Callithrix jacchus: one gene and its partners. The protein of the gene in region 1 purifies or fractionates together with the protein of each later gene. This does not show direct contact. Links are inferred from orthologs where the notes say so. Each region holds a gene or a part of one and is shown on either strand. Other genes may lie near its edges.

Region 1 (3,500 bases):
TGGCAAAGCTGTGGGAAAATAAGCACTCTCATACATTAGCGGCAGGAATATAATTGATGTAACCTTTAAGGAGGGCAATTTGATAATATTGATTCAAACACAAATGCACAAACTCTTGACACAGAAATCCCATAATCACACATGGGAATTTCTCTTTCACATATACTGTACTTTAAAAAGTGTGAAATGGGCTGGGCGTGGTGGCTTACATCTGTAATCCCAGCACTTTGGGAGGCCAAGGCAGGAGGATCACTGGAGCCCAGGAGTTCAAGACCAGCCTAGGCAACATGTGAAACTCTGTCTCAAAAAATAACAATAAAAACGAAAATGAAAATGAAAATGTGAAATGACTTATATTCAAAGTTAACTATGTATAGCTTTGTTTATAATACCAAAGGATTGAAAACTATCCAAATTTCCACAGATAGTGCAACTGTTATTAATATGGAATGATCTCCAAGATACCATTCAGCTTTGCTTTTTCTTTTTTTTTTTGAGAGAGTCTTGTTCTGTCATCAAGGCTGGAGTGCAGTGGCGAGATCTTGGCTCACTGCAACCTCTGTCTTCCAGGTAGCTGGGACTACAGGCATGTGCCACCACGCCCGGCTAATTTTGTATTTTTAGTAGAGACGGGGTTTCACCATGCTGGCCAGGCTGGTCTTGAACTCCTGACCTCAAGTGATCCACCCACCTTGGACTCCCAAAGTGCTGGGATTACAGAAGTGAGCCACCGCGCCTGGCCTACATTGTTGTTGTTGTTTTTAAAAGAAGGTGCTAAATCTTATATGATGCCACCGTTCGTGTAAAAAAAGATCATATATATATATTTGTGTGTGTATTATGTCTAGGAAAACTAATACAGAACTGGTAAATGAGGGAAAGTGATAGGAAACTTTCAATAAATACCTCTTGGGACCTATGAGTTTGGCCCTATATGATTCTATTACCTATTCAAAGAGAAACATAAACTTTAATCTCAACGAATGAAGAAACAAAAAACTCCCAAGTAAATGATCCTTATGCCAGACAACTTCAACCAGGGAATGCATAAGCACAAAGCTACACACATTTGTTCTCAGATTTTAACTGACTTTAAAAAGCCAGCAACAGAGGGAGATGCAGTCCCACCACTAGCAGACGGAAGAGAGGAAAGGAAGGTCAGGGAAGGCTGGAGAAATAAAGCTGCCTAAAAGTAAGTGGTGTGGGGATGGGGTTGGGGGTGGTGTTGAGAGGTCAGATGGGAGACACAGGGCCAGGATGGGGCGTAGCACAGAAGAAAAAATAGGGCAGGAGTAGGCAGCATTAGGCGCCACAGAAGAGCCAGGACAAGCTTTGAAGACAAAAGCCATAAACTCACCTATCAACGCCTCCCAGGAGGGAACACAAATCAGCACTGAGGATGGAAGGCAGCATGTCGTAACGACGATCCGCTAAGTAATAAGTGGTGGCCCTGTGAATGATACACATGCGGCAACGTGACCTTCAGTGGGGAGAAGCAGAACTGCTGACTGTGTGGACCACAGGGAGGTAAATGGCCAAAATGTCACTACAGATTCCCCAAGGCTGCTGCTGTTTCATAAAGTGCAGCAGACTGGGTAATAAAACGATTCCCATGGTCCCACTTTTCTAAGTGAGTCTGCTTTGGGCTGAATATTCTTCCACTGATATGAGAAAGAAAGGGCAAGTGACATGAATCTTCATTGTATAAGAAAAATTGGAGAGTAATGATCCAGTGTTTATATAAAACAGCATATCACTACATGAAAATGTAACCCATTTCAATTTAGTAGGAAACGTGGGAAAAGGTTATGTTAAAAAGGAGAGGTAAGTCGACCAAGGTACTGTTTCTCTAAAGGAAACCAGGGAGTGGACCTCAACTTTTTTTTTTCTGGAAGAAACCTTCAGAATTGCACAAATAGGAGATCTTTGTTTTGAACACCTGAAACTATTACAGACACAAAATATAGTCACATACACACAACCATAGTGTGATTTAAAATCATAATACCTTGTTCTAGCTTCAATATCAATATAAGAATTTGGTGCCACAAAGTGTGTCACATCTGCAATGTGGACCCCAAGTTCCAGGTTGCCATTGTGTAAAGTTCTGACTGAGAGTGTGTCATCCACATCTTCACAACCTTTGGGGTCAATGCTGAACACAAGATGGCTTCTCCTCAAGTCTTTACGTTCTCGTTCCTCTTCAGGACTCACCTTCCAGGGATTTTCTGGTGTGTTCACTGGCATCTCACACATCTGTATGAGAGGCCAAATATTCAGCAATTCATGCACCACAGATTTCTATAAAAATCCATTCTCTGATATTCTCAATGTGACCACATACAAATTCATTGATTCTCAATTACCTTCTGCGTCAACCTATGTTGGCTCCCTTTGAGCAATAATTGTTGATTAGTTGCCTCAGACGTCTTGGGTACTGTGCTGGGTTCTGGAAAGTCAGGAGTCAACAAGAAAAAGTTCCCCACCCCTGATGACCCATAGAGTTGGACAGAAGATGCCCCACAACGACTCCCAGCCTGTTTAGTTACAGGGGCTTGGAATGAGAGTACAACATGCAGCCCATTTTCAAACGATCTGTTTGTCTAAATGTAGTTGAGCTGTAAATTTAAGCCTTGAAAAAATAATAATCATGTCCCAAATATTAAAGGTTTACCCCTTAAAGATAATTTTATACAGGACCTATCTAGGGCATTTTTCTCTCCACTATTATCTATTTAAGCCATCAATTTGCAGTTAAGTAGGCTAAAAGGGAAGAGGAAATTCCAGTCCTATGATATCTAGCCCACACTTTATTTTATTGTAACGTTTTCACTAAGAGCTGCCAAACAAGTCAACAAATAATTTCCAGAAACTTATGTTAAATATAAAAATTTAATGAGGTAAAATATTCTAAAATAATTTACTGTTCTGTGAAAAAGTATAATGAAAATAAGAACACCTAGACATTCCTTATGGCAATGCAAATGGGTCCAATTTTTCTAGAGAACAATCTGCTACTATATATCAAAAGCTATTTAAAGCTTTTATACCCTTTGACTTGGTAATCTCACTTTAAGGATTACATTCCAAGAGAATGACAAAAAGAAATTAAAAAACAGTGTCTATAAAAATGTTTGAAGTAACTTTTTTGTTTTTTTTGAGACAGAGTCTCACTCTGTCGTCCAGGCTGGAGTGCGATGGCGTGATCTCGGCTCACTGCAACCTCCACCTCCTGGGTTCAGGTGATTCTCCTGCCTCAGCCTCCCGAATAGCTGGGACTATAAGCACACACACTAATTTTTTTTTTTTTTTTTTTTTTGAGATGGAGTTTCGCTCTTGTTACACAGGCTGGAGTGCAATGGTGTGATCTCGGCTCACCGCAACCTCCGCCTCCTGGGTTCAGGCAATTCTCCTGCCTCAGCCTCCTGAGTAGCTGGGACTACAGGCGCGCGCCACCATGCCCAGCTAATTTTTTGTATTTTTAGTAGAGACAGGGTTTC
Region 2 (3,500 bases), on another chromosome or scaffold:
TAAGCTTGGCAGATCACTTGAGGTCAGAAGCTCCAGACAAGCCTGGGCAACATGATAAAACCCCATCTCTACTAATAATATGAAAATTAGCTGGGCATGGTGACACACACCTGTAATCCCAGCTACTTGGGAGGCTGAGGCATGAAATCACTTGAACCTAGGAAGCAGAGGTTGCAGTAGGCCGAGATCACGCCAATGCACTCCAGCCTGAGCGACAGAGCAAGACTCCATCTCAAAAACAACAACAACAAAACAATTAATTAGAGCTACACAGAGAAGTTACTATTGAGTGCCAAAACATGGGTAGAGGAGTATTTGGGAGGCAAAGTACAAGGGAGGAAAGGAAGGGCTGGACTAAAAAGATCCCTAAGGGAGTGGGCTCTGTGTGGGAGGAAGCAGGGCCTCTGTGGCCTCACCCAGCAAACCAGGGGCAAGCAGGTTTAAAAAGCTGTTTAAAAAGCAATGGCACAGTGAGGTCAAAGAAGGTATTCACATCATACAGACCTGACTTTGATATCCAACAGCACTACCAGAAAGCTGAGACCTCTTGGGCTAGTTACTTAACCTCTCTGTGTCTTAGTTTCCTAACTTATAAATGGGGAATATAATACTGTCCTTTTGCAACAGGTTAAGAAGGTTTAAATGAAAATGCACGTAAAGAGCTGATCATCCTTCCACACACAATGTACCGACCTGTCTAAATTCTGCCCCCCAACTCTGTCTGGCACCATTCAGAGACCATCTCGTTTCATTCTTCCCTGACAACTTTTATGGGCAATTTTAGGTGCTACCATGATATTACTATAATTTTACTATAGAATGGCATTATATATATGCTGCTTATATCTATGTTGTATTTAATTTTTTAAAAAAATATTATAGGAGACCACATTTTCCCAACTAATCTCACCCTATAAGTTGAAATCACTCACCTGAAGAGGAAAAAAGCACTAGAAGGAAAGTAGGCCAACTAGTCTCCAACATAGGTAGAATATGGCCAGACAGCAAGGTGATACTCACCAGCACATCCACATAGAGAACCCAGCAGTGCTCCCGAGCACTAATGCAGAGGGTCTTCAGGTCAACACTGCTCTTATTGTTAAATATCCGATAGAGGGTGTTAGCGATCTCTGTGCCAAGGTCATCACCTCCTCGACCTTCAAACTCAGGGGTAGCATTGGCTGAACTATACAAAACAGAAACAAAAAAACTGGGTGAGTCTAAGCGCAAAAAGCAAAGAGGCAAGGCTTTATTCCAGTTTCCCTGTAGAATGCTGGAAAAGCCAGCTGCTTGACAGAAAGTCACTGAGATGAGGCAAGAATGGCATCTGCCACCTTTCCTGCCTCCAGAAACATGTAATGAACCAGACCAGCACTAGGACCTGGATTTGTCAGCGTGTGTGATGGGATTTCCCAAGAGTTTCTAACAGAAGCCATCTTTAGCCAAAGAGAAACAGGAGAGTGATGGTAATGTGAACCTCAGCCAATAATAATTAACTGTCTTATCTTCAAGCATATAATAAATACGCTTGTCTGCCAGGCCCAGGAAGCGGAGAGCCCTAGGGAATGAAGCAGTCTGGGTTACAGAGAGCTTTCATCATACACACCACCTTTAGTTTCACAGCTTTAGAATGAGCTATGATACTTTTCAACATAAAAACCACAATGTAAGCACAATAACCTTTTCGGAATGACTTAAAAGACATATATAATCCTCTCTGGATTGACTTAAAAGACATATACGTCAAAGCTTTGTTATAAACTTTAGAGATCACTGTACTGAAGAAAAAGAAAAATTATTGGCTCAAAAGTAGTAGGTTACCTCCTTTATTTGGTATTTTTCAAGAAAAAAACTTTTTTCTCCTTTTTGGCTTCTTGATATTTAATGCCCAATAACCTTAACAAAACTAACAGGATTCAGCATTAGCCAACCTAAAAACACCAAAGTATTTAGTAGGACATTTCTGAGAGTTTTGGCTTAATACAAACAAATCCTTAATATGTATGCGAGATAAGTAAACATTATAGTAATCATTTTATTATAACAATAAAGGACCAGAAAGGTAAGAAGCTAGTGGTTTCAGCATGGACTCTATGAAATCACGTATTAAAGCCTTCTGACCCTCACCCATATGGAAAGTTCCCAGCCCTAAACCAGCTACCAGACACCCAGAGGCTGAGTGAAGCAGATGCAGACCCAAAGCCAGCAGTTCCAATGAGGTAGGAGAGTTTCACCATAGACAGCAAACAGTGAGGTGGAAGCGGAGAGGGGCACAGAGTGTCAATTAGTGTTCAGGGTTACAGGAGACCTCAAACCTGGGATGAGCAGAGCTGGTCAGGCCAGAAAGGCGGGAGGATTCTAGGCAATGCAAAACCTGTGTGAAGGCCCATGGCAGTGCCCATCCCATTTGTATAACACTAAAAGAAATCTCACTTGGTAATACAGGTAAAAGACTGAATTCTAAAATAATCAGACTATGCTGTTACATACAATTTTGCCTCTCTAATTATATATTCTTTCCTTACCACTGTGAGCCAGAATCCCCTTTAAAGTACCCAAGAGAGACTTCATTACTGCTATAGCAACCTCGCTGTTCCCTGCCTCTGCTGGACTCAGGCATCAAGCCAAGAAAAGCAGCTTGTTTATGGTGAAATAATCAAGTCACCAGGGACCAAGTTTTTACTCTGCACAGCCAGCAAAACACAACCTGTTTTTAATTTAAACACTAAGCAATCAATATTAAGTCCTGTGTTTTAAGTGCTTAAAAATACATCTACAGAGATTTCTGTGTACACAAATCCAGTCAGAGATACTTATGCTCAAAACGTTTATCTTTCCCTGAATGCAGTGGACACATCCTGCTGGGTGTGACTAATTTTTCTGGGACTAATGCATTCACTCTTCTACAGCCTTGGGGGATGGTTTATAGAGCTTCCCAGGTCCAACTGTCTACATTAGTCTATCTATAAAATCATACCCCATTAATTTTTTTTTTTGACATTGGGCTAATGTGGAAATTTTTACCTATTTTTAAATGCCTTCACACACACACACACATACACACACACACACACACACACACACACACACACACACACACACACACACCATCTTCCAGAAGAGCCAGGAGTCAGACAAAGAGGAAGGTTTAGAGACTCATGAGCCCATTGAGCTCTCCTGTGCCTGGATGATGCCATAGTTGTGCAGTGACTCTGGGGAGGAGGCTGGGAAAATGGAGGGGAATTATTCAGGGTTGGGGATGGGGTACAACGCTTTAAGTAACATAAGAAAGCCATATTCTGCCGATGGGCGAAGACAAAGAGAAATGAGGATTCCACTTCACTACTGGGGCACTCACAGCCCAAGGACTCTTTCTGACAAATTTAGACAGAAATGTAGACCTGGAAAGGGCCTCAGAGACCATCCTCAGAGGATGAAAACCCAAATGCCTACCGGGGTCAGTAAGGTTACTACATGTATCTGAACAAAGGGCCACATAT
Region 3 (4,165 bases), on another chromosome or scaffold:
CAAACTTACTCCAAAATGTTTTTCACATATGCCTCTCAGCAGCAAAAGCATTTCAAAATCAAAATACTAAAATTCCTCAGCTGAACTAAAATGAAAGAGGACATTTGTGAAAGCTCAGTAAAAAGAATATAGAGATAAATTGGAAGGAAATCAGAAAATGTTTTTTACAAGAAAAATATGTCTATTAAGCATCCGATTAAGATAACTAGTCTGAAAGGTAAAAGTAGAGGAATAAAAAACCAAAAAGTTCTACACATGTTCAATGTTCTAAAGGATACGCACATGACTTACAGGAAGAGTCCCTGCGCTGGACAGCACAGTATTAACAGAAATTCTTTACTAACCAGATTAAGGATAATTTGAGTTACTACACTGATTCCACCTTTCTACCTGGTTATGTTCCTTAACTATGTGTCTAAATGTCAAAGGAAAATTTCTCATTTCCCTACATTTTCAAATATCCTGAAATTTCCAAATATCCCCCTTCTTAGAAGGCAACTGCTTTTGAAAAGTACTCTCAAGCAATTTATCATCAATCTCATTTTAAAATGTTTATTTTTGAGAAAGGTAATTCATTATAATTTCCTGAAATATTTGAGCATCTTAAATTTTTCCAAATACCAGTGGAGAAGGGAATTACATAGGGGATGGGGGTTGGCGAGGCCGCTGGCCCAAATCTCCAGAATCTGATTTCCCTTTCTAAGAATCATAAGAAATAAGGAAAAATAATTCAGGATAGCAAATAATCCATCTCATCTTAGTACTACAGAGGCAAGTACACACATCTCCTTACTAGTCTCTGTCTCGCCCTTGCCTCTTAGCCTAGGCCACCCTCCATGCTTTTCCCAGTCTACTCCTGAGTCGCTCCCAGCCAAGTTTTTGGGTCCGCGTCTTTGCTCTTACTGCTCCCTAGCAGCTTGCTGGAGGACTCTTCCCCCTGTAGAGCTAAAGAAACAGCATCTTCACCTCTGCGGGGTTTTGCTACAATGTTAACTGTTCCATGAGGCCTTCTCAGGGCACTTAAAATGAACCCCTCCCCAAATCGTATTGCCCTATCTCCCTGACTCATTTTTTCTTTCACCTCACTTAACACTACACCATGTATTTTACCTATTTATCTGTCTAGAAATGAATTCCATACAGACAGGAATTACTTGGTCTGTTTTGCTCCCAGCACATAACGGTGTAGTCAATGCTCAATAGGGTATCTGTCAAATAAATGAATGCATGAATGAATAAATGAATGAACGAAAGCACATGGTCCCTTCTTCCTCCCCAAGACTCCCAAATGCTTTGTCAGGTATCAAAAAGGAATGAAGCCTTCTCCTTTCTAGTGAATCACTACCATCACCAGTGTATTCCTTGATGTTAAATTTCAAAAGAAAGATCATGTGACGTTTTTCCAGTTACGTGCCACTTTTAAATACTTGTCTAGTGTCCTCTTCTGATGTCAACATCTGATATAAAAGAGAAGTACACATTCCAGTTTGAGCACGCCAAACACTGCTATACCAACTAGTAAAACGCGTAAAACCATCCATGAATGACAGCAAGCATTTGTGTTCTAGGCAAAACGGACAAAGTCTGTTAAGGTCAAATCTACAAATATTAGAAGGATCAAACTTAATGTACAGAAAGAAGGAAAAAAATTTTTTCTAATCTAGGAGGTCATTTGATTCTAAAAAGGAAATACTATATAAGGAAAGAATATCTTCCCCAAACACAACACTGGGACTCAAAACTGCCTTAATTCAAGGCACTAGATAGGAAGTTGTTCACAGGTTCTGGCCCCCTACTGAATTTCTTGAAAGTTAAACTGGAATACTTACCTTTCTTACAGAGAGACTACATGTGTTTAAGTGCTCTGACTTGCAGGAAAACGAAAACAAAATAAAAAACACAGCACTAGGTAACTAACTGCAAAGCAACGTTATTGCTTCTCAAACACGGTCATACACTCCGCTTCTTTCATGACCCCATTCCCTGTTCGCTGGATTTATGTTTCAGTCGCAAAACAAGTATTTAGAGTGGTTTTGGAAACTGCTGACACTTAAGGCTAATGCCTATTTCAACCTGTTGTGAACATCTGGGTCCCCAAAGCTGCCCTGGGCTCTACTTTCCTAGCCACAGTCCCAAGGTTCCGATCATGGTGGCTCCACCTCGCCTCAGGCCTGGTCCAGACCCAGTACTCTCGCCAACGAAGGAGTTGCCTCCGTCCAGATGCTCCGCGGGGAAGGCAGAAGCGCACCTCCCAGGGGCCAGGTGTGGACAACGGAGCCGGCAGGAGCAGCTGTCTGATCGCAGCAGCTGTTACCGGGGCACCCCGAGGCTGAGCGGGTGACTGGCCCGCAGAAGTAGGCAGAGGAAGGCAAGCCCTCGGGCTCCGAACAAGCCGGCCTGACTGCCCCACCACCCTCCTGCCTTGTTCTGCTGCCCTAGCAATGCCAAGAGGCCCTGGCCGAGGGGCTCCTCGGCTCCCCGCGGCCGTGACGCGCCAGGGCCCTCAGCGCCCCTCGCCCAGGAGGAGGCTCCCTCCGGCCCCGCACCTGACCTGTCCCTTCGCCTGACGGCCCAAGCCGGCCGGAGCGGCCTGTGGGTGTCCATGCGGCCGAGCCGGCTCGGGTAGGATCGACGGGGACGCAAGCCCGGGTCAGAGGCACGGGCGGCCCAGGACGCCGCGGCGGGGCCGGGGCGCGGGGCAGAGCCGGGCAGGGGAGCTACACGGAATGGCTGGTTACCTGCGGTCCGGGACAGGGAGTCTCAGAACCCAAGTCAGTCCTCAGCCTCAACAACACAAGATGGCCGACACGTCGCCACGCGCATCACGTGACCGCGCGTTCGCTCGGCCACGCCTCTTGCCCCGCCCCCGCCCCTTCCCGCTTCCCTCCCCACTCTCCAGTCTCCCACGACATCCTTCCTTTCCGTAGCCACCGGCCCCTCTGCCCAGACACGCCCCTGCCAGAGACCCGGATGAAAGCCTGGAAGAGGGCGGGGCCGTGGCAGTGCGCAGGCGCCCGCTGACCCCTCGACTGCTGCTAGGTACCTGCCCTTGAGTTGAGAGGACCTGGTGTCCAGAGTTGGGCCCAGACCAGCCACCCTGTGACTCACTGTTCTGTACTCCCAATCCAGAGCCCGTTTGCAGTTCAAAAGCCTCTGCATCCCTTACGGGCCGGTTTTTCAAATTAGAACTTTTCCACACTTTTAGTCCAGCATTTTCCTGTCCAGTTGCCATCCTAGAGCGAATGGAAAAGCCGCAAAAGCTGACATTCAAAGCAGTTTCTCTACTTGTTGATAGTTCTGCAGAGTGTTGCACTGGGACAGCTAGGAAAGACTCTAGAGCTGCAACTCCTTCCTAGGACATCCGGGGCTATAACTCTTTACCTAGAGATGAACTATTCTGGAATTGACAGATAAAATACAAGACACCCAGCAATATTTGGGGCAAACACTAAAAAAAACTGGTCGTTGTTTTTCTGAAATTCAAATTTAACTGGGCGTCCTGTGTTTGCTAAATCTAGCAACTCTATCCTTAGGCATCCCATTCTTGCCTGTGTCTTCAACTTCTTCCTTCCTACAGGAGCCTTTCTGTCAGCTTTAAAGTGTCTCCCATCTTAAAATGGAATGTTAAAAATTCCAGTTCTGGCAGGGCGCAGTGGCTCATGCATGTTATCCCGAGACTTTGAGAGACTGAGGCGGGCAGATCACCAGGTCAGGATATCGAGACCATCTTAGCCAACATGGTGGAACCCCCGCCTCTACTAAAAATCCCAGAAAGGGCATGGTGACCCGTCCCTGTAATCCCAGCTACTTGGGAGGCTGAGGCAGGAGAATCACTTGACCTAGGGAGTCGGAGGTTACAGTGAGCTGAGATCGCACCAATGCACTCCAGTCTGGCAACAAAGCAAGACTATGTCTCAAAAAAAAAACCCTCCAATTCTCCCTCCAGCTACCTCTTGTGACCCTGTTCCCTTTCACAGCCAAGCTGCACCAAAGAATTGTTTATATGCACTTTCTCCATTGCCACATCTGACATGCAATCATCAACCACTCCAAGGTGGCTTCTGTCTTTTCCTATCTGCCTATTGCTTACCCTGAAAACACCCCATCTTACAGGTTGGTAACAATGTTGATAATATTGAGTCTTTCAGTCCTCAGCTTGACTTCC
Region 4 (3,942 bases), on another chromosome or scaffold:
GTGCTGTGGGCCCCTCCTTTCCTAGCCCATGCCTCCTGCCCCTCCACTAACGTCCTGCTTCTACTTTCCCTACAGGTGGAGGACCACGCATAGGACCAGGACAGCCAAGAGGAAGCAGGATCTCCTCCAGGCTCATCAGCTCCGGGCGTTCTGGGGTAGGTCCTTGCCTTGCCTAGGTTGTGAAGGCCTCCTGGTAGCACCCATGCAACCTGAGATACCCGTTCTGGAGCTGGGTCAATAGAAGAGAACACAGGGCTTGGCCAGAAAAGCGGAAGGTTCACTGTTGCAGCAGGTTTAGCTTCTTAGGAGGTTACATTTCACGATGACAGCCATGGGACTGACAGCGTTAGGAGGGAGGTAGCCTGGGACTGTACCAGGTCGCCATCCTCATGAAGCTGAGGCTGTCTTCCAAGGGACAGCTGACAGCCCACCCCCACCCCACCCCAGCACTCAGGGGCAATCCTCAGTCCTGAGTGCAGACACGGCCACAGCTGCTCTTCACTCCCCTCTGGATGCACCAACAGCCAACAGATTTCCCTGGGATCCCAGTCTCCCTCCCTGCCCGAAACAGCCGGAAGGTCCTCGGCGTACACCCCACACCACCCTCTTGGGGCTCCAGACTCGTCATCCACTCTCCAAAGCCATCCTTCAGAATAACATGAGCTGTCTCCACTGGTGTGATACCATTTCAGACCTGCTCTGGAAAGGTAAGTCAAAAGGGAAAAAATAAAATTCATAAATCTTTTTCCTGGTCAAGGCTTCTTGGTGTGGCTCCAGAAACTCATTCTGGTCCTTGGGCTGCCCGGCACCGGCCCTTCCCCGAGAAGCCGAGTGCAGAGACCGGACCAGGCTGCCCTGCCTTCTCAATGGCAGTCACCTGGCTGCGTCCAGAGCAGCCTTGAGACCAGACCAGCAGATCTGGGAGCCACACAGGAAAGACCCCACCCTCGTGGTGAGTCAGGCCGGTTCTGCCCTATGGAGCAGCCAAGCCGTACCTGGCTTTCCTGGCAGTTCACCTGCCCTCTCTGGGCGTTGCTCAGGGTTTTCCTCCTAGGACCAAGGCACCACGTGAAGACGGCCCAGGACACCACTTCCCACCGGCTGTGGAGGCCTCTGGTTGTGCCGTTCTCCACATGGCCAAGGACAGATCTGGCTTCCACCCAGAGCAAAACCCATTCCAGCTACCCAGCCGAGTTGGGTCTTGCCCAGTACCAAACCAGGGTGGGGGGCTGGGGTGCACTCAGCGCGCCGCTGGGGCCATACAACTCTTCCTACTTTTGTCATATCTCAGCAGCTGTCCTGTCTCTGGTTCGTGTGGGGGCAGCTTCTCCTTCTATAAAGCACAGGGCCCACATCCAGTCCTGCAGCTGTTCTTTGCAGCCTATCTGTCCCGTTCAAGTTGGTCTAAGGAACGGGACCGGTTAAAGGCACCGCGGTCACGGCCCCTTGCCACCTGGGATGTAAGAACAAAGAAGCCGTGCTCTCTAAAATCCTGGACCAAGAAGAATCACAACAGAAGACGCTTTTCAGATATAGAAGTGTTTTTCTTTTGGCTCAGACACGGTGAGAAGGCACAGCCTCTTGTCCAACCTCTCAAAAGTCGCCCAGTTACGTCAGAGGGAGTCTCTGGCTGGCGGTGCAAAGGATCTATCCCTTAAATGACTACAGTTCCCAGATACCAGCTTCCAGGTAAGTTCCAAGTTTCCAGCCTGGAAGTCAGGCTGCGCTCACAGGTGTTCTCAACTGGGTCGCAGCTGAGAGCCGGCTAAAGGAGGAAAGTTCCTTTAATGAGGTTTGTAAAAAGCCCTTCCACCACCACAGCTGTCTGGCGCCTCGGCTCTGTTTCAGCCTCTCCAGGTGCTCTCCGGGGCTCCTGCTGCATATCTCGATGCAGGCTCGAGGCCCACGGCACGGGTCTCGGCGTGGCGTCCGTCGTTGTTCAGGGCGGGGCGGCGCCCCTGCGACGGGCAGCCCGCACCAGGCACTGCTGCAACACTGGATAGAGGCGCTGGCAGCCCTCGAGGCCAAGGCGTACGGCCTCCGCCCAGCTCTCGGTCAGGCCACCCTCCCCGCTACCCAGCAGCCCAGCCACCTGATTCAGGACGGGCATGAGTGCCACAGTGAGACCGGCGGCGGCGCGCTCCTCCTCGAGCCGCGTGGGGTCCAGTAGCCAGGTGGACGCGGGCCCCGGAGCGAGGCTCAGGCCGCAGCCCACCACCAGGTCGTACATCTCCACGCCCGCATCGGCCAGGGCGAGCGCAGCGGCGGTGAGCGCGGCGGCCAGGGCTGAGCCCCCGTCCTCCAGCAGCAGCGCAGACACCTCGAGCTGTGCACGCGGGTATCGGCCCAGGCGCACCGCTGGCTCCAGCGCCTCCTGCAGCGCCAGCGCCAGCTCACGCTCCTCACCGCCGCCCTGGGGAGCGCGGCGCCGGCGCCCCGCGAAGGGGGCGCGGCGGAAATCGCAGAGCAGTCGACCACGCAGCGCGGCCGGGGCCTCGCCACCCGCTCCGGCCGGGCCGCCCCCGCGCTCGCCGCCCTCGGCCTGGCGCGGGCCCGACACCGCGCACAACACCTTGGTGCCTCCTGCCTCCAGGTAGGCTGAGCCCTTGGCTTGGCTCAGCAACCCCGCGCGAGCGTACACGGGTCGCAGCCGCGTCGGGTCGCGAGCGGCGGGCGCATCCTCTTCGTCGGCCGCGTACAGCTGCGGCGGCTGTGATTCCTCCGGGCCGCGTATACGGCGGTGGTCCCCAGGCATCACGGCGCCTGGCGTGCGACCTGCTTCCGGCCGCTGCTCCACCACGCACACCAGCTCTTCCGCTGCTTAAAGATGCGCGCCTGCGCGAAGGATGTCGGGGAGCAGCCGGCTTCGCTATAGCGCCCTCTGAAGGCCTGGAGGGAGAACGGCCGGCGTCCTCAAAGCCTTGGTGCCGCTAGTGCAGGGCATGTGGCGTTCATACATACAACGGGGGCGGGGGGCGGCAGTTAGAAGAAAGAGGCTTCTCTGCTTCCACCCCTCATTTTCTGTTGAATTATGAACACCTCCCTCTATGTCACCTATTTGGCTTCCATCGCCACAAACGGTTGAGGCAACCACAGGGGCTACTCCCAAAATTCAGAGTTCTGGGGCTAGACAGTGAATACAGCAGCAGCCAGCAGGAGTCACAGCATTTATTCTAGACAGCAGGGGCCACAGGCTGTGGAAACGGCGCGCCCCCATTGGGAATGGGTAGAGATCCTGCGGCGTCAATTATTGCACATGGTCCTTTATTCTCTGCAGCGAAAATGATTCCCATTTGCTAACCCAGACAGCTCAGGTCTGGAGAGCTGTCCGCTCCAGATGCCTATCGATGCACAACAGCAATGCTGGGGTACTCAGGGCAGACATATAAGGAATACTGGGTCACAGGACCTCTTCCAGTTACCGTGGGGTTAGGAAGATGGTGGGAGCTCTTTAAAGGTCCCAAGATTCTAATGTTCTTAGAGCAGAGGAGGAACTCCTGGCTGGACCTATGGATCCAGTGCCAAACTCCTCCTTCCCCACCTCAGTTCTTCACATCCCCGAGGTGCAGCTGGGCAAAGGAAGTGGCCAGCTGCAGCGCCTCCTGCAGGCAGCCAACGTTCTTGCCTGTGGCCTGCGCAGACACATCCTTGCCACCACCCTTACCATCCATCAGGCCTGATACCTGCTGCACCCACTCGCTGGCTTTTAGGCCCCTATTGGCTGCATTCTGGAAGAAAAGAAGGGAAGGGGGAGTTAGGACACAAGATAAATGAGGAATGGAGGAAAAGAAATGCAGGAGCCATCCCCCACTCCTGCCCAGGGTGGTGATGCTGGCAGCCGAGACACGCTTAACAGCTGGTAAAGGGGGAAGTCATAGCCACAGCCAGGAAAGGACAGAGTGGCAAAGCCAAGTATCAACCAGACATCTTCACCAATGAGAA
Region 5 (3,500 bases), on another chromosome or scaffold:
GCCGAGGCAGGTGGATCACGACCATCCTGGTCAACACGGTGAAACCCCGTCTCTACTAAAAATACAAAAAATTAGCTGGGCCTGGTGGCGCGTGCCTGTAATCCCAGCTACCTGGGAGCCTGAGGCAGGAGAATTGCCTGAACCCAGGGGGCGGAGGTTGCGGTGAGCCGAGATCTCGCCATTGCACTCCAGCCTGGGTAACGAGCGAAACTCCGTCTCAAAAAAAAAAAAAAAAATTAGCCAGGCATGATGGTGCACACCTGTTGTAGTCCCAGCTGGTGGGGAGGCTGAGGCAGTAAGGCTTGAGGTCAGCCTGGCCAACATGGTGAAACTCTCTCTCTACTAAAAATATAAAAATTAGCCAGGCGTGATGGCATGTGTCTGTAATCCCAGCTACTCAGGAGGCTGAGGCAGGAGAATTGCTTGAACCCAGAGGGCAGAGGTTGCAATGAGCTGAGATTGTGCCACTTTACTCCAGCGTAGGCAAGTGTGAAACTCCATCTCAAAAAAATAATGAAATAAAACCAGGACCATCAGGATGTCCTCGCTTCACTTCTCGTCCCTGCCTTTCTCAGCTTCATTCTCCGTGGCTAGCATCTTTCCTGAGGCTGGGACTGACCCCGTAAGCTCCCAGTTTCCATCTTAAGAGGCTCAAAAGCAAACATCAGCTCAGGCTCAGTGTCTGAGCTCAGGTTATTCTGTGTTGTCTGCCCAGTGCTCTCATGGTTTCCTCCAATCCAGAAGGCAGAAACCATGTGGAGGGCTTGAGATGGGGGGAGCTGTTGCATTTTTTGGCAGTTGAGATGGAGTCTCGCTCTGTTACCCAGGCTGGAGTGCAGTGGCGTGATCTTGGCTCACTGCAACCTCCACCTCCCTGGTGCAGGCGATTCTCCTGCCTCAGCCTCCTGAGTAGCTGGAACTACAGGCACACACCACCACGCCCAGATCATTTTTGTATTTTTAGTAGAGATGGGATGCTCTACCCTTCTAACCCCATAGAAGGGTGACTGTCTCTCTTGACCTTGTGATCTGCCTGCCTCGGCCTCCCAAAGTGCCAAGATTATGGTCATGAGCCACTGTGCCTGGCCAAGGGACTGGCTGAGATTTTATCTGAAGGGAGGGTCCTAGGTCTCCCACTACCTTCTTCCCCTCGTCCCTAGGAGGCCCGGGCAGTCCTGACCTTCGCCCTGGACAACGTGGAACGGAAGCTGCTCATGTCCAGCACCAAGGGGCTCTTCTCGGACGCTGAGGTACCAGCATGGGGATGAGGGCAAAAGCCAGAGCCTTCCCTCCCACCGACATGCAGTCTTGTCCCAACTCTACCCCGGATTCTGAGAGGGTTCAGGAGAGCCGCTTGCATTTCTGCTTGTAAAAAACAGAGTTTTCAAACTTTGTGGTCCCAGAAACCTTTGTGGAAATGTTTAAGGGAAGCCCAATTTATGGGACAGGCAAAAAGAGGCTGAGCTCAGTTTAAAGTCAGAAGATGGCCAGGCATGAGCCCACTGGTACACACCTGTGATCCAAGCACTTTAGGAGGCTGAGGCGGGTGGCTCACGAGGTCAGGAGATTGAGACCATCCTGGCCAACGTGGTGAAACCCTGTCTCTACTAAAATTAAAAAAAAAGAAACTTTAGCCGGGTGTGATGGCACATGCCTGTAGTCCCAGTTACTCAGGAGGCTGAGGCAGGAGAATCACTTGAACCCAGAAGGTGGAGGTTGCAATGAGCTGAGATTGCACCACTGCACTCCATCCAGCCTGGCAACAGAGCAAGACTCCATCTCAAAAATAATTAATTAATAAATAAATACATACATAAATAAGGCTGGGCGCAGTGGATCACGCCTGTAATCCCAGCACTTTGGGAGGCCAAGGTGGGTGGATCACGAGGTCAGGTGATCCAAACCATCCTGGCTAACAGTGAAACCCTGTCTCTACTAAAAATACAAAAAATTAGCTGGGTATGGTGGCACGCAGCTATAATCCCAGCTACGGGAGGCTAAGGCAGGAGAATCACTTGAACCCAGGAGGCAGAGGTTGCAGTGAGCCAAGATCGTGCCACTGCACTCCAGCCTGAGCAACAGAGTGAGACTCAATCCTCAAAAAAATAAGAATAAAAAAATAAAGTCAGAAGATGAGGGCACATGATGGTCCCCCAGCTCCTAGCTCAGAGTGGTAAGCCACCAAAATTCCAGGTCTCAGGCTAAGGGACAGAAGCTTGGAAACTGCAAAAGCACGTCCAACCTGGACCTTATGAATCTAGGAATACATGGCAGGAAAGACTGGGAGTCTCTTGATTCCATGGCTCTTAGGTTATTCGGGGTCAAGGGGCCCATGACTGTAAACTCCCAAGACCACTCCAATTCTGCACTTTCTCCAGTTCCCTAGCTCTGCAAAGCTGGGGCCTCTTCCAAGGTAGGAGAGGATGCCTGATTGGTCTGAGTCCTGTTGCTGTCAGAATCTTACCCCTGAAGCCCTCACCCTCTCTTTATTTCTCCTGATCTCTAAGAAACGGCTCGTGAAGTGGGAGATAATGCCTCACCACCTGTCTCACTTGGGGGCGGGGGAGTGATGGGAGGTGAAGGGGGAGGTGGTGGGTTTGGGGGGCGAAGGGAGGCAGGTGGGGGTCAGCAAAACCTCTTGCATCAGCCCCGTCATGGTGTGTGTGTGTGTGTGTGTGTGTGTGTGCGCGCGCGCGCGCGCGCGTGCGCGCGCACAGGTCTCAGCCCCCAGCACCAACCAGTCTCTCCCCCGAAGCTCCAGCAGTGCCTGGCCGCGGCCCAGGCGGCTTCGCAACACGTCTTCCGCTTCTACCGGGAATCGCTGCAGAGGCGTTACTCCAAGAGCTGAGACAAGCTGGGGCAGGGGGCCACTCCCTCTGCCTCCACCCACCCACCCACCCGCTACAGCCTGAAGCAAACCAGCGGCCCAGCCTTGCCTCTCTGTCCTATGGGCTCATAGGACAGTGAGCCTGCAGCCATGTTACCATAGGGGCTCCTGCAGGGAGGCCTTGGCCCCTGACAGTCCCCAGGCTTGGGGACACAGATCCCTGCCCAACAAGGAGTTCACATTTATGGAATGGATGAGTCAATAAATTAATTCATTTTAACACATCTGTGGAGTACCCAATGTCTGCAGGCCCTGCTAGTGAGATCCCAGAGGAGCACGCAGCTGAGCTGGTATTTGCCAGACGGTACTAAATCTATGAAAAAAATAAAACCAGCCGGGCACAGTGGCTCACGCCTGTAATCCCAGCACTTTGGGAGGCCGAGGCAGGTGGATCACGAGGTCAAGAGTTCGAGACCATCCTGGTCAACATGGTGAAACCCTGTCTCTACTAAAAATACAAAAAATTAGCTGGGCATGGTGGTGCGTGCCTGTAATCCCAGCCACTCAGGAGGCTGAGGCAGGAGAATTGCCTGAACCCAGGAGGCGGAGGTTGCGGTGAGCCAAGATCGTGCCATTGCACTCCAGTCTGGGTAACAAGAGCGAAACTGCATCT
Region 6 (4,224 bases), on another chromosome or scaffold:
AAGTTATTTCATTTTGGTACATTTGACAAATGTTCAATTAGTCATTCCCAAGTAGCTGGGATTACAGCCGCCTGCCACTGCGCCTGGCTATTTTTGGTATTTTGTCATTAAGCTTGGGTCATAATTATCTAACACTCATAGTGAAAACTCTTGGGAAATTAAATACTGACACCCAACTGCCAAATCAACCGAATTATAGGTGTAAATTATAATCTAATAAATAGAGGAGGCTAATTTAGTAATTCAAATCTCAGTAGGACCTATTTATACCCACCGCTTTAACTCCACAGATTACTGTAGTATTTCCCAACTTCACTAAAGCAGAACCGTCTGCGGTACTAATTGAACCTGAAAAGATAAGCAAAATGAAAAGTAAATAAAAGGAAAACAGCTACAAAATTATCTACATAATCATTAAGTGTGTTAGTTTGCTGTGTATGATTACCTTGCTACACCTGTCAGTTGCTTATGAAAATGTATTTCAAGTTGGAATAATTGATTTTAAATGATATAAACTATTTAAAATTAGTGTTTAAATAATTATTCACTTGTCCTTGAATTTGTGTTAATAATTTTTCATTCAGTTACAGGGCTTTTGTACGGATAAAAAATTTCTTGACAAAAAAAAAATCATCAAATCCTTTAGACAGGGAGAATTTGGCTGAAAAACTGTTGAGGTGGTTCAGAGACTAAAACTTGGGAATATCATACAGTTGAAAGTGGAAAATACATCCTTACCTATGTTGACAGTTGTAGTTCTGAATTCACCAAGTTCTCTTCCATCAGGACGGCAGTTCTCTTTCTAAATAAATATAATGTTTATATAAAAAGATTCTACCTATTACATACTTTACATATCTATCACAAGTTTTACACACACCAGGGGAAACACATTAAATGTTACTTCAAATGGATTTATTTAAATTACTTGAAATTTATCTTTAAAAGAAGCCCATTGTTAACATAAGGCATAACATGTACATAAACTTTACTCACTAGAAATCTCCTGTAATACTCCAGAGGTTCCACAGTTCTGAAACACATGTTAAAAATATAGCTGAGATAAATGATGAATCTTAACATAAATCCAGAAATGGGCAAAGCTCTTTAGAATATGGTGATACAGCAGAAACTGCCACAATTTTAATCTAATTCTAGAAAGTAAAAACCCTTGCAGTAGCAATCGCATCCAATTGCTATTTTAACTGCTGTAATCGATTAAGAAGATTGGCGTCTAAAAGCCCTTTGAGTGAGCTCTTTAAAAGCGGATTAATCTAGGTGTCAGAAAAATCATGTCATTCTTGCTCTGAAACAAGGATTCAGAGTGATCTAGTGATCATGAAGAGATTATTTTCATAAACGGGAACATGAGTTAGATCGTACTAGGTAACTCAGGAAACAAAAAAGGTACATCTTTATTTTCACTGTAACGGACACTTAGCACATTCTTCAATTATGGCTGGAGGCAATACACGATTGTAACATTAGCAGTACCTGCAACTTTAACAAAGACCACAGATGTATTCATTTGTGTACTGTATGTTTAGGCTGTTACTTTGAAATCCCACGAGGTACTACTAGACTCGTCACTAGATCCTGTTTAAGAAGGTAAATTTTAAAGCAAAGCAAGTATATATACTACTATATCATGACTTCGGAGTTTATATTCATAATTTTTTTTTTTTTTTTTTTGAGACAGAGTTTCGCTCTTGTTACCCAGGCTGGAGTGCAATGGCTCGATCTTGGCTCACCACAACCTCCGCCTCTTGGGTTCAAGCAATTCTGCCTCAGCCTCCCGAGTAGCTGGGACTACAGGCGCGCGCCACCATGCCCAGCTCATTTTTGTATTTTTAGTAGAGACGGTGTTTCACCTTGTTGACCAGGATGGTCTCGATCTCTTGACCTCGTGATCCACCCGCCTCGGCCTCCCAAAGTGCTGGGATTACAGGCGTGAGCCACCGCGCCCGGCCCTATTCATAGATAATTATTTCAACATAATGGGTTTCCTTTGGAATCCTATTTTATCCATTTTTTTTAAAACTTTAAGAAAGTCCATAGGCTACACACACAAAAACGTTCCGAACGAGGCATGATTCTTTTAGAAATAAATTACGAGAGAGGGAGAACCAGGCGGTATGTGGCTCTGACGCACCAATCTTTATGTATTCGTATTTATTTATTTTTTGAAACAAGAGTCTCACTCTTGTCGCCCAGGCTGGAGTGCAGGGGCGTGATCCCAGCTCACTGCCACCTTCGCCTCTCGGGTTCAAGCGATTCTCCTGCCTTAGCCTCCCAAGTAGATGGGATTACAGGCTCCAGCCACCACGCCCGGCTAATTTTTATATTTTTATTAGGGACAGGGATTCACCATGTAGAGCAGGCTAGTTTCGAACTCCGATCCTCCCGCCTCGGCCTTCCAAAGTGCTGGGATTACAGACGTGAGCCACCGCGCCAGGCCACAATCTTTAAAAGATTACATCTATGTCTCCTGGGACTGCACGTTCACTACACACCACGCTCATGAGCGCTCGCAGCGGGTACGGAACTCTACAGTCCTTTCATCTCCCGTTTCGCCAGGGGAAAGAAGCCCTTTCTTTTCACTACGACCACCTCCAGGTCCTCCCGCCCGTCGCCTGCTTCGACAAGGAAGGAAATGGCACTCCAAAAGGGTCGGCCTCCAGGTGAGAGAATCTCAGCTAAGAGTTAAAGGAAGCCGTCGTCGGCCAGGGTATAGAACTCGGCCCTCCAGCCGCCAACACTCACTTGAACCCAGCCGCCATCTTCCCGCCCGCGCGTCTGCGCCTGCGCCGCTCTTCGCCTGCTCGCCTGTTCCGCCACCGCACTTTCGACATGGATGCCCGGGCTGCTCACGCCACAGGAAACGCCAAGGCGGGGACGCGACGAAAGGCCCGCCTTGGCTTAGACTTTGTCCTGGCCAGACGCCCTTCTAGGTTTCCTTGCTTGGACGAATTTGACGAATCTGCTGTTAGAGAAGGAGAAGGTGTCCTATAAAAAAGCTGGTGCTGTCACTCAGAATAAGGCCAATATTTCGGAGAAAATAGGTTTCCAGCGAAGAATCAAGCATTGCGTATAGCGCGTTATTCCAATGTTTCTGCGTCTTTTTTCCGCCTGTGACTTACGCTGTGCCCTGACCGTGCTTCTTCCCTGGTCAAGGCTCCCTGCTCCAGCACGTTGAGAAATCTGAACTTTTTTTGCTCTCATTATCCGCACCACGTTCTGCTCTGCAGGTCCTGGAGCTGGCTCCTAACCGTCAGCTTGTGTTGTAGACTGTGTCGTGCTTAAGGCTGCCATCTCTCTCCGCCGTGAGGTTACCAGATAAAATACAGGATACCAAGTTAAATTTGAATGTCTGATAAACAGCATTTTTTTTTTTTTTTTTTTTTAGCATAAGGATGCCCCAAATAGAGCATGCAATTAGTTGTTACCAGAACCTGGAGGGAGCTGGAAAGGCTTTACAGACAGATGGTGATGGTTGCACCGCATTGTGAATGTATTTAATGCCACTCACTATTGTAAAGTTAAAATGATTAAAATGGTAACTTTTGTTTTATTTTACCACAATTTATAAAAACTAATGTAATAGACCAGAAGCCTTTAACTGGACGAGTTGTGTAGTATGTAAATATCTTGATAAGGCTGTTAAAAAAAAAAAAAGATTAGTTTTCTTTTTTAATCTGAAATTCAAATTAAGTAGGCATCTTGCACACTTGCTTAACCTGGCGCGGTGCTAAGGAACCTAGCGCGTCTCTCCACCGCCTGGGCGCCGAGCGCTCGAGAGCGGCAGGTTCTCCGCCTCGCCACGCGGGGGTGCTGCGGCCGGCGGGCGAGGCCTCTCTGGCTGCGGGGCCGGGTCGCGCTTCCGCGTGTGTGTAGCTGCCGGATAGGGCCGGCGGCCCCGGCATGGAGGATGGCTCCGCTCCTGCTGCAGCTGGCGGTGCTCGGTGCGGCGCTTGTGGCCGCAGCCCTCGTACTGGTGAGAACAGAGGCTGGGGACCGGCGCGGGCCGGGGCTCAGCGCTTTCCTGGAGACTGCGGCTCCTCCGGCGTCCCCTCCTCCGCGCCACCCATTCGCTGACTTGTCTTTCTTTCCCCTAGCTTCCCCCGAATTCCTGACCTGAGTTTCCTTTCTTGGAATTTCACTCCCCTTTTTCTTCGGTTCTTTAATTTTCGCTCGGCACCTTATCTCTTTGTGTGCCCAGAGATT
Region 7 (3,500 bases), on another chromosome or scaffold:
TTATCTCATTTTGGTAACTTCCGTCTTTGTTAGAATAAGCATTAGGATCTTTGGTATGGCCTAAAGGTTCTGCACTGGCTGGCCCTGCCCATCTCTCCAGCTTCATGTAGCTCCCCTTCTGCTGTCATTCCCTCTCAAGAACTGTGCTTCTTCCTACAAAAGGGCCATTATACAAGCTTCTCTTTCTGCTTGGAATGCTCCTCCTTTCTGTGCTAGTTATTATAATTTTGATTCATTTTCCCCATCATATCTCCATTTCTCACTTTCCTAGAGAAGCTCCTCTGTAAGTCATTTGCCCTATCATCAAATCTTATGGCACCATATATGGATTCTTTATAACACTAATAATAGATTTAATTGTACTTAAAAAAAATCATTTAGTATGTTTTCCCCACTAGAATGTAATTTCTCTTAGAGCAAGTGTTATGTCTGTTTTTCACCATCACATTTCCAGCATAGTGCCTGGTACATAGTAGGTAAATAGCAAATATTTTAAATGATTTTTATACATTAACTTATCTTTTCTTAATTGTTTGTGGTTTCTGTATATGTATTTACCAATGTAGCTCACGTAGTTTCCATAGTTTTATGTGGATCCAATCCTGACGGCATTCTTTCTGAAGATTATAAAGATAAATTTTTAAAAGTTGAATGAATTATGTAGGGATCAAATGCAAAAAAAAAATTTGATCTAGCTCATAATTTATTCTCCTCCTTTTTTAAGAGATGGCGTCTTGCTTTGTCACCCAGGCTGGAGTGCAGTGGTGTGATTGTAGCTCACTACAACCTTAAACTCCTGGGCTCAAACCACCTTCCACCTTAGCCTCTCAAGTAGCTGGGACTAAAAGCACTTGCCACCATGCCTGACTAATTCCCCCATGTTCTTAATTTATTTTTTCTACGTTAACCTCGTTCCCCAGGTTCTTTGTAGATATCCGTATTTTAGTAAGTCTAGTGTTGTGTGCAAGTAAAATATGTACAATATTCCAGCGTAATTTAGCAGACTCTCAACTTGTTCATCAGTTCATAAATCTCACAGGATTAAAAATAGTTTAGCCATCTGCTAACTGACCAAACAATTTTAGTATTGTGAAAGGGCGTGGTAGGAAAGGGAGATATAGGGTCTAGGTATAATGTCAGAACAAGGCTCAGTGTAGAAACTACCTTGTGACCTCTTCATACTGAAACTTAACAGTCAGTTCAAAATTAGGAAGAGATTTGGTGGAGGTTAAGCATTGGAGAGTCCTGACAATAGGGGATTTCCTAGATTAAAGAGACAGAATTTCTTTCAGCTTTAATATCTCACAAAGTTTTTTTAGAGAAAAGATAGTATGTTTATAAAGACATGAATTCTGTGAAAATTATAATCTATAATTTAAAATAGTATGTAATAGATTTCTGTATATTACTAAAGAAATTAATTAATTGGCCTTTTATATTTTACTCCTTAATTAGGAAAACCAGTAGATTCCCAGTCATCGCGAAGTGAATCTGAAATTGTGCCGAAAGTTGCCAAAATGACTGTATCTGGAAAGAAGCAAACTATGGGATTTGAAGTGCCTGGGTAAGACTTGAGTACCTCCGTCACCCCCGCCCCCATGTCCACCCCCAACCTCACGGATTGTCTCCTATTAGTCTGTAAGAAAGAGACTTTCAATTTTGCATAATGTGTCATTAGCATTGAAGTATCATATATCCTCCGTATAACATAGTACAAAGAGACAAAAGGAGAAATTAGGCTTGATTCTGGCCTTACGTATGTGTATTACTTATCCTACCTCACCATCAATTTTCTCACATAAATATTTTATAGCTACTTTAACATAAAAAAAAATCTGATTTGGTGAAACCTGGCACCGTCAGATAGGGAATTCTTATACCGCTAGGTGGCACAGGTAACCAGACTTCAGAATGAGTCAGCAAATCATGGAATCATTAGTTAAATTTTCTAATGACTGAAATATTTTTAAACTCTTTTGAATTTTCATATTGAATGAATTGGATCATTGTGGCAAACAGATGATATGAAACACACCTGGAATTTCAAATATCTTGTGAAAATGGAAGTCACCACACCTTGGTAGCTCGTGTTTGTTCTCATCACAGTCTCTAGAATCCTTCCAGGAGTTCTTAAAGACAAGGGAAGTGAGTTGCTTTGAAGCCATTAATTTTCAAGTTCTAAAATTTTTCAGAATTTTCAGTTGTTCAATAAAGCTGTTACTTATAAATTATATGTATTTTGTCTGCCAAATTGATAAAGAAACATTGTTATCAAATATAAACAATAGGTTTTTACTATAAACAATAGATTTTTATATCCTTTTTTTTCTTTCTTTTCTCCCTTTTCCAAAATTATATTTTTTAAGAAACACAAACTCAGGAGCCTTATTTTTTTCCCTTACAATATTCTTTTATCTAAATTAGTGCGGTATCATGAGTTTTGGTTGGGAAGAATGTTAATCATCACCTAGTTCAATTTTTGGATTTTATAGATTTCAAAGTCAGTGAAGGAAAGGACTCCTTCTCTAAGACATAGTACACATTCAGTATACATTAATTGAATGATTGGATGAATGAAAAATTTAATTTAATTTTTATCACCTGTTAAAATAATTTAGAATTCTGATTCAGTCTCAAAAATCTTCATGTATGTCTTTTTTCCTTCTGAATTAGGATTGGGTTATCAGAATAATTGACCTTTTTTTCCTTAATCTTGAATGCCATTTAATTCTGTTATGGGATTTTTCCATCGAGGGAGAGAGAGGAAATACATAGAATACACAAGTTATTGTTCTAAGGATTTTATATTCTTTCAAGGAAAGAATAAGTTAAGCTGGATAGTCTTGTTTCTCCTTTACATATCTGAGTTCCTCACTAGATTGTAATCTTTTGGGAGTGGTAGTTAGCTTTTTCATTTCTATGTCATTTTCTTTTCAACATCAGTCCCTAGTATATGTTGTAGTTTTTAGTAAATCGGGTGTTTGTTGAATTAATTAATTAAAGCTCCACTGTCAAAAATGTTTATGAACTGTAGTCATTTAGAGATATCTCCCCTGAGGGGGATAATAAAAAGGATCATAAGTTTATCATGTTGGAAGGATGAGTTGGGGTAAAACTATATTTTAGTACTAATTCTACTCCAGTAATATATTTGGTGCCATTTTTACAAAATATCCCCTTTATACCATTGATTTTGATAGGATGGATTATATCGCCAAGGCTTAGATTTTGAATTTCAGTTATTTTTAAAGATATTTTCTTCATACCTTCATTTTTTGGTACACTGTTTTTCTCTTGGGATCTTCCACATCTGTATTTGTGTGGTTTGAGTCTAGCTACTTATCATTTCCACCTTAACAGACTCTAGCTACTTAGCAGAGATTATTTTTGGTCTGGAGTATAAAGAATTATGAAGAAACAGTTTTTCTGCCCTTCTGACATTATAGAACATCAGTCGAGTTGGTTTAAAATGCTTTTTTCCTGTCTGCCTTCTGTAGAGT

What was found.
Region 2: the proteins of DIS3L (region 1) and EXOSC7 purify together in Homo sapiens (affinity purification with mass spectrometry; 3 studies listed by BioGRID and IntAct, counting the BioPlex papers as one, with this or other methods). This does not show direct contact. The link is inferred for Callithrix jacchus from reciprocal best matches to the Homo sapiens genes DIS3L and EXOSC7.
Region 3: the proteins of DIS3L (region 1) and GIGYF2 purify together in Homo sapiens (affinity purification with mass spectrometry; 3 studies listed by BioGRID and IntAct, with this or other methods). This does not show direct contact. The link is inferred for Callithrix jacchus from reciprocal best matches to the Homo sapiens genes DIS3L and GIGYF2.
Region 4: the proteins of DIS3L (region 1) and EXOSC6 purify together in Homo sapiens (affinity purification with mass spectrometry; 3 studies listed by BioGRID and IntAct, with this or other methods). This does not show direct contact. The link is inferred for Callithrix jacchus from reciprocal best matches to the Homo sapiens genes DIS3L and EXOSC6.
Region 5: the proteins of DIS3L (region 1) and EXOSC5 purify together in Homo sapiens (affinity purification with mass spectrometry; 5 studies listed by BioGRID and IntAct, with this or other methods). This does not show direct contact. The link is inferred for Callithrix jacchus from reciprocal best matches to the Homo sapiens genes DIS3L and EXOSC5.
Region 6: the proteins of DIS3L (region 1) and EXOSC8 purify together in Homo sapiens (affinity purification with mass spectrometry; 4 studies listed by BioGRID and IntAct, counting the BioPlex papers as one, with this or other methods). This does not show direct contact. The link is inferred for Callithrix jacchus from reciprocal best matches to the Homo sapiens genes DIS3L and EXOSC8.
Region 7: the proteins of DIS3L (region 1) and HBS1L purify together in Homo sapiens (affinity purification with mass spectrometry; 5 studies listed by BioGRID and IntAct, with this or other methods). This does not show direct contact. The link is inferred for Callithrix jacchus from reciprocal best matches to the Homo sapiens genes DIS3L and HBS1L.

The regions. Positions count from the first base shown.
Region 1 is NC_133509.1:13,371,282-13,374,781, reverse strand, and holds part of DIS3L (DIS3-like exonuclease 1), read right to left. Parts: intron 2,257-3,500; coding exon 2,009-2,256; intron 1,451-2,008; coding exon 1,358-1,450; intron 1-1,357. UniProt on the Homo sapiens protein: Catalytic component of the RNA exosome complex which has 3'->5' exoribonuclease activity and participates in a multitude of cellular RNA processing and degradation events.
Region 2 is NC_133516.1:27,738,231-27,741,730, reverse strand, and holds part of EXOSC7 (exosome complex component RRP42), read right to left. Parts: intron 1,187-3,500; coding exon 1,021-1,186; intron 1-1,020. UniProt on the Homo sapiens protein: Non-catalytic component of the RNA exosome complex which has 3'->5' exoribonuclease activity and participates in a multitude of cellular RNA processing and degradation events.
Region 3 is NC_133507.1:154,063,576-154,067,740, reverse strand, and holds the start of GIGYF2 (GRB10-interacting GYF protein 2), read right to left. Parts: upstream 2,801-4,165; 5' UTR 2,739-2,800; intron 1-2,738. UniProt on the Homo sapiens protein: Key component of the 4EHP-GYF2 complex, a multiprotein complex that acts as a repressor of translation initiation. In the 4EHP-GYF2 complex, acts as a factor that bridges EIF4E2 to ZFP36/TTP, linking translation repression with mRNA decay.
Region 4 is NC_133521.1:31,651,766-31,655,707, reverse strand, and holds EXOSC6 (exosome complex component MTR3), read right to left. Parts: upstream 2,801-3,942; 5' UTR 2,756-2,800; coding exon 1,940-2,755; 3' UTR 277-1,939; downstream 1-276. Other genes in the region: AARS1 (alanine--tRNA ligase, cytoplasmic), read right to left, coding at 3,543-3,728. UniProt on the Homo sapiens protein: Non-catalytic component of the RNA exosome complex which has 3'->5' exoribonuclease activity and participates in a multitude of cellular RNA processing and degradation events.
Region 5 is NC_133523.1:36,660,716-36,664,215, reverse strand, and holds the end of EXOSC5 (exosome complex component RRP46), read left to right. Parts: intron 1-1,160; coding exon 1,161-1,250; intron 1,251-2,310; coding exon 2,311-2,413; intron 2,414-2,717; coding exon of another isoform or gene 2,718-2,755; coding exon 2,756-2,967; 3' UTR 2,968-3,111; downstream 3,112-3,500. UniProt on the Homo sapiens protein: Non-catalytic component of the RNA exosome complex which has 3'->5' exoribonuclease activity and participates in a multitude of cellular RNA processing and degradation events.
Region 6 is NC_133506.1:156,216,188-156,220,411, reverse strand, and holds the start of EXOSC8 (exosome complex component RRP43), read right to left. Parts: upstream 2,801-4,224; 5' UTR 2,781-2,800; coding exon 2,764-2,780; intron 1,034-2,763; coding exon 997-1,033; intron 803-996; coding exon 739-802; intron 349-738; coding exon 275-348; intron 1-274. Other genes in the region: ALG5 (dolichyl-phosphate beta-glucosyltransferase), read left to right, coding at 3,929-3,994. UniProt on the Homo sapiens protein: Non-catalytic component of the RNA exosome complex which has 3'->5' exoribonuclease activity and participates in a multitude of cellular RNA processing and degradation events.
Region 7 is NC_133505.1:141,717,387-141,720,886, reverse strand, and holds part of HBS1L (HBS1-like protein), read left to right. Parts: intron 1-1,455; coding exon 1,456-1,564; intron 1,565-3,497; coding exon 3,498-3,500. UniProt on the Homo sapiens protein: GTPase component of the Pelota-HBS1L complex, a complex that recognizes stalled ribosomes and triggers the No-Go Decay (NGD) pathway.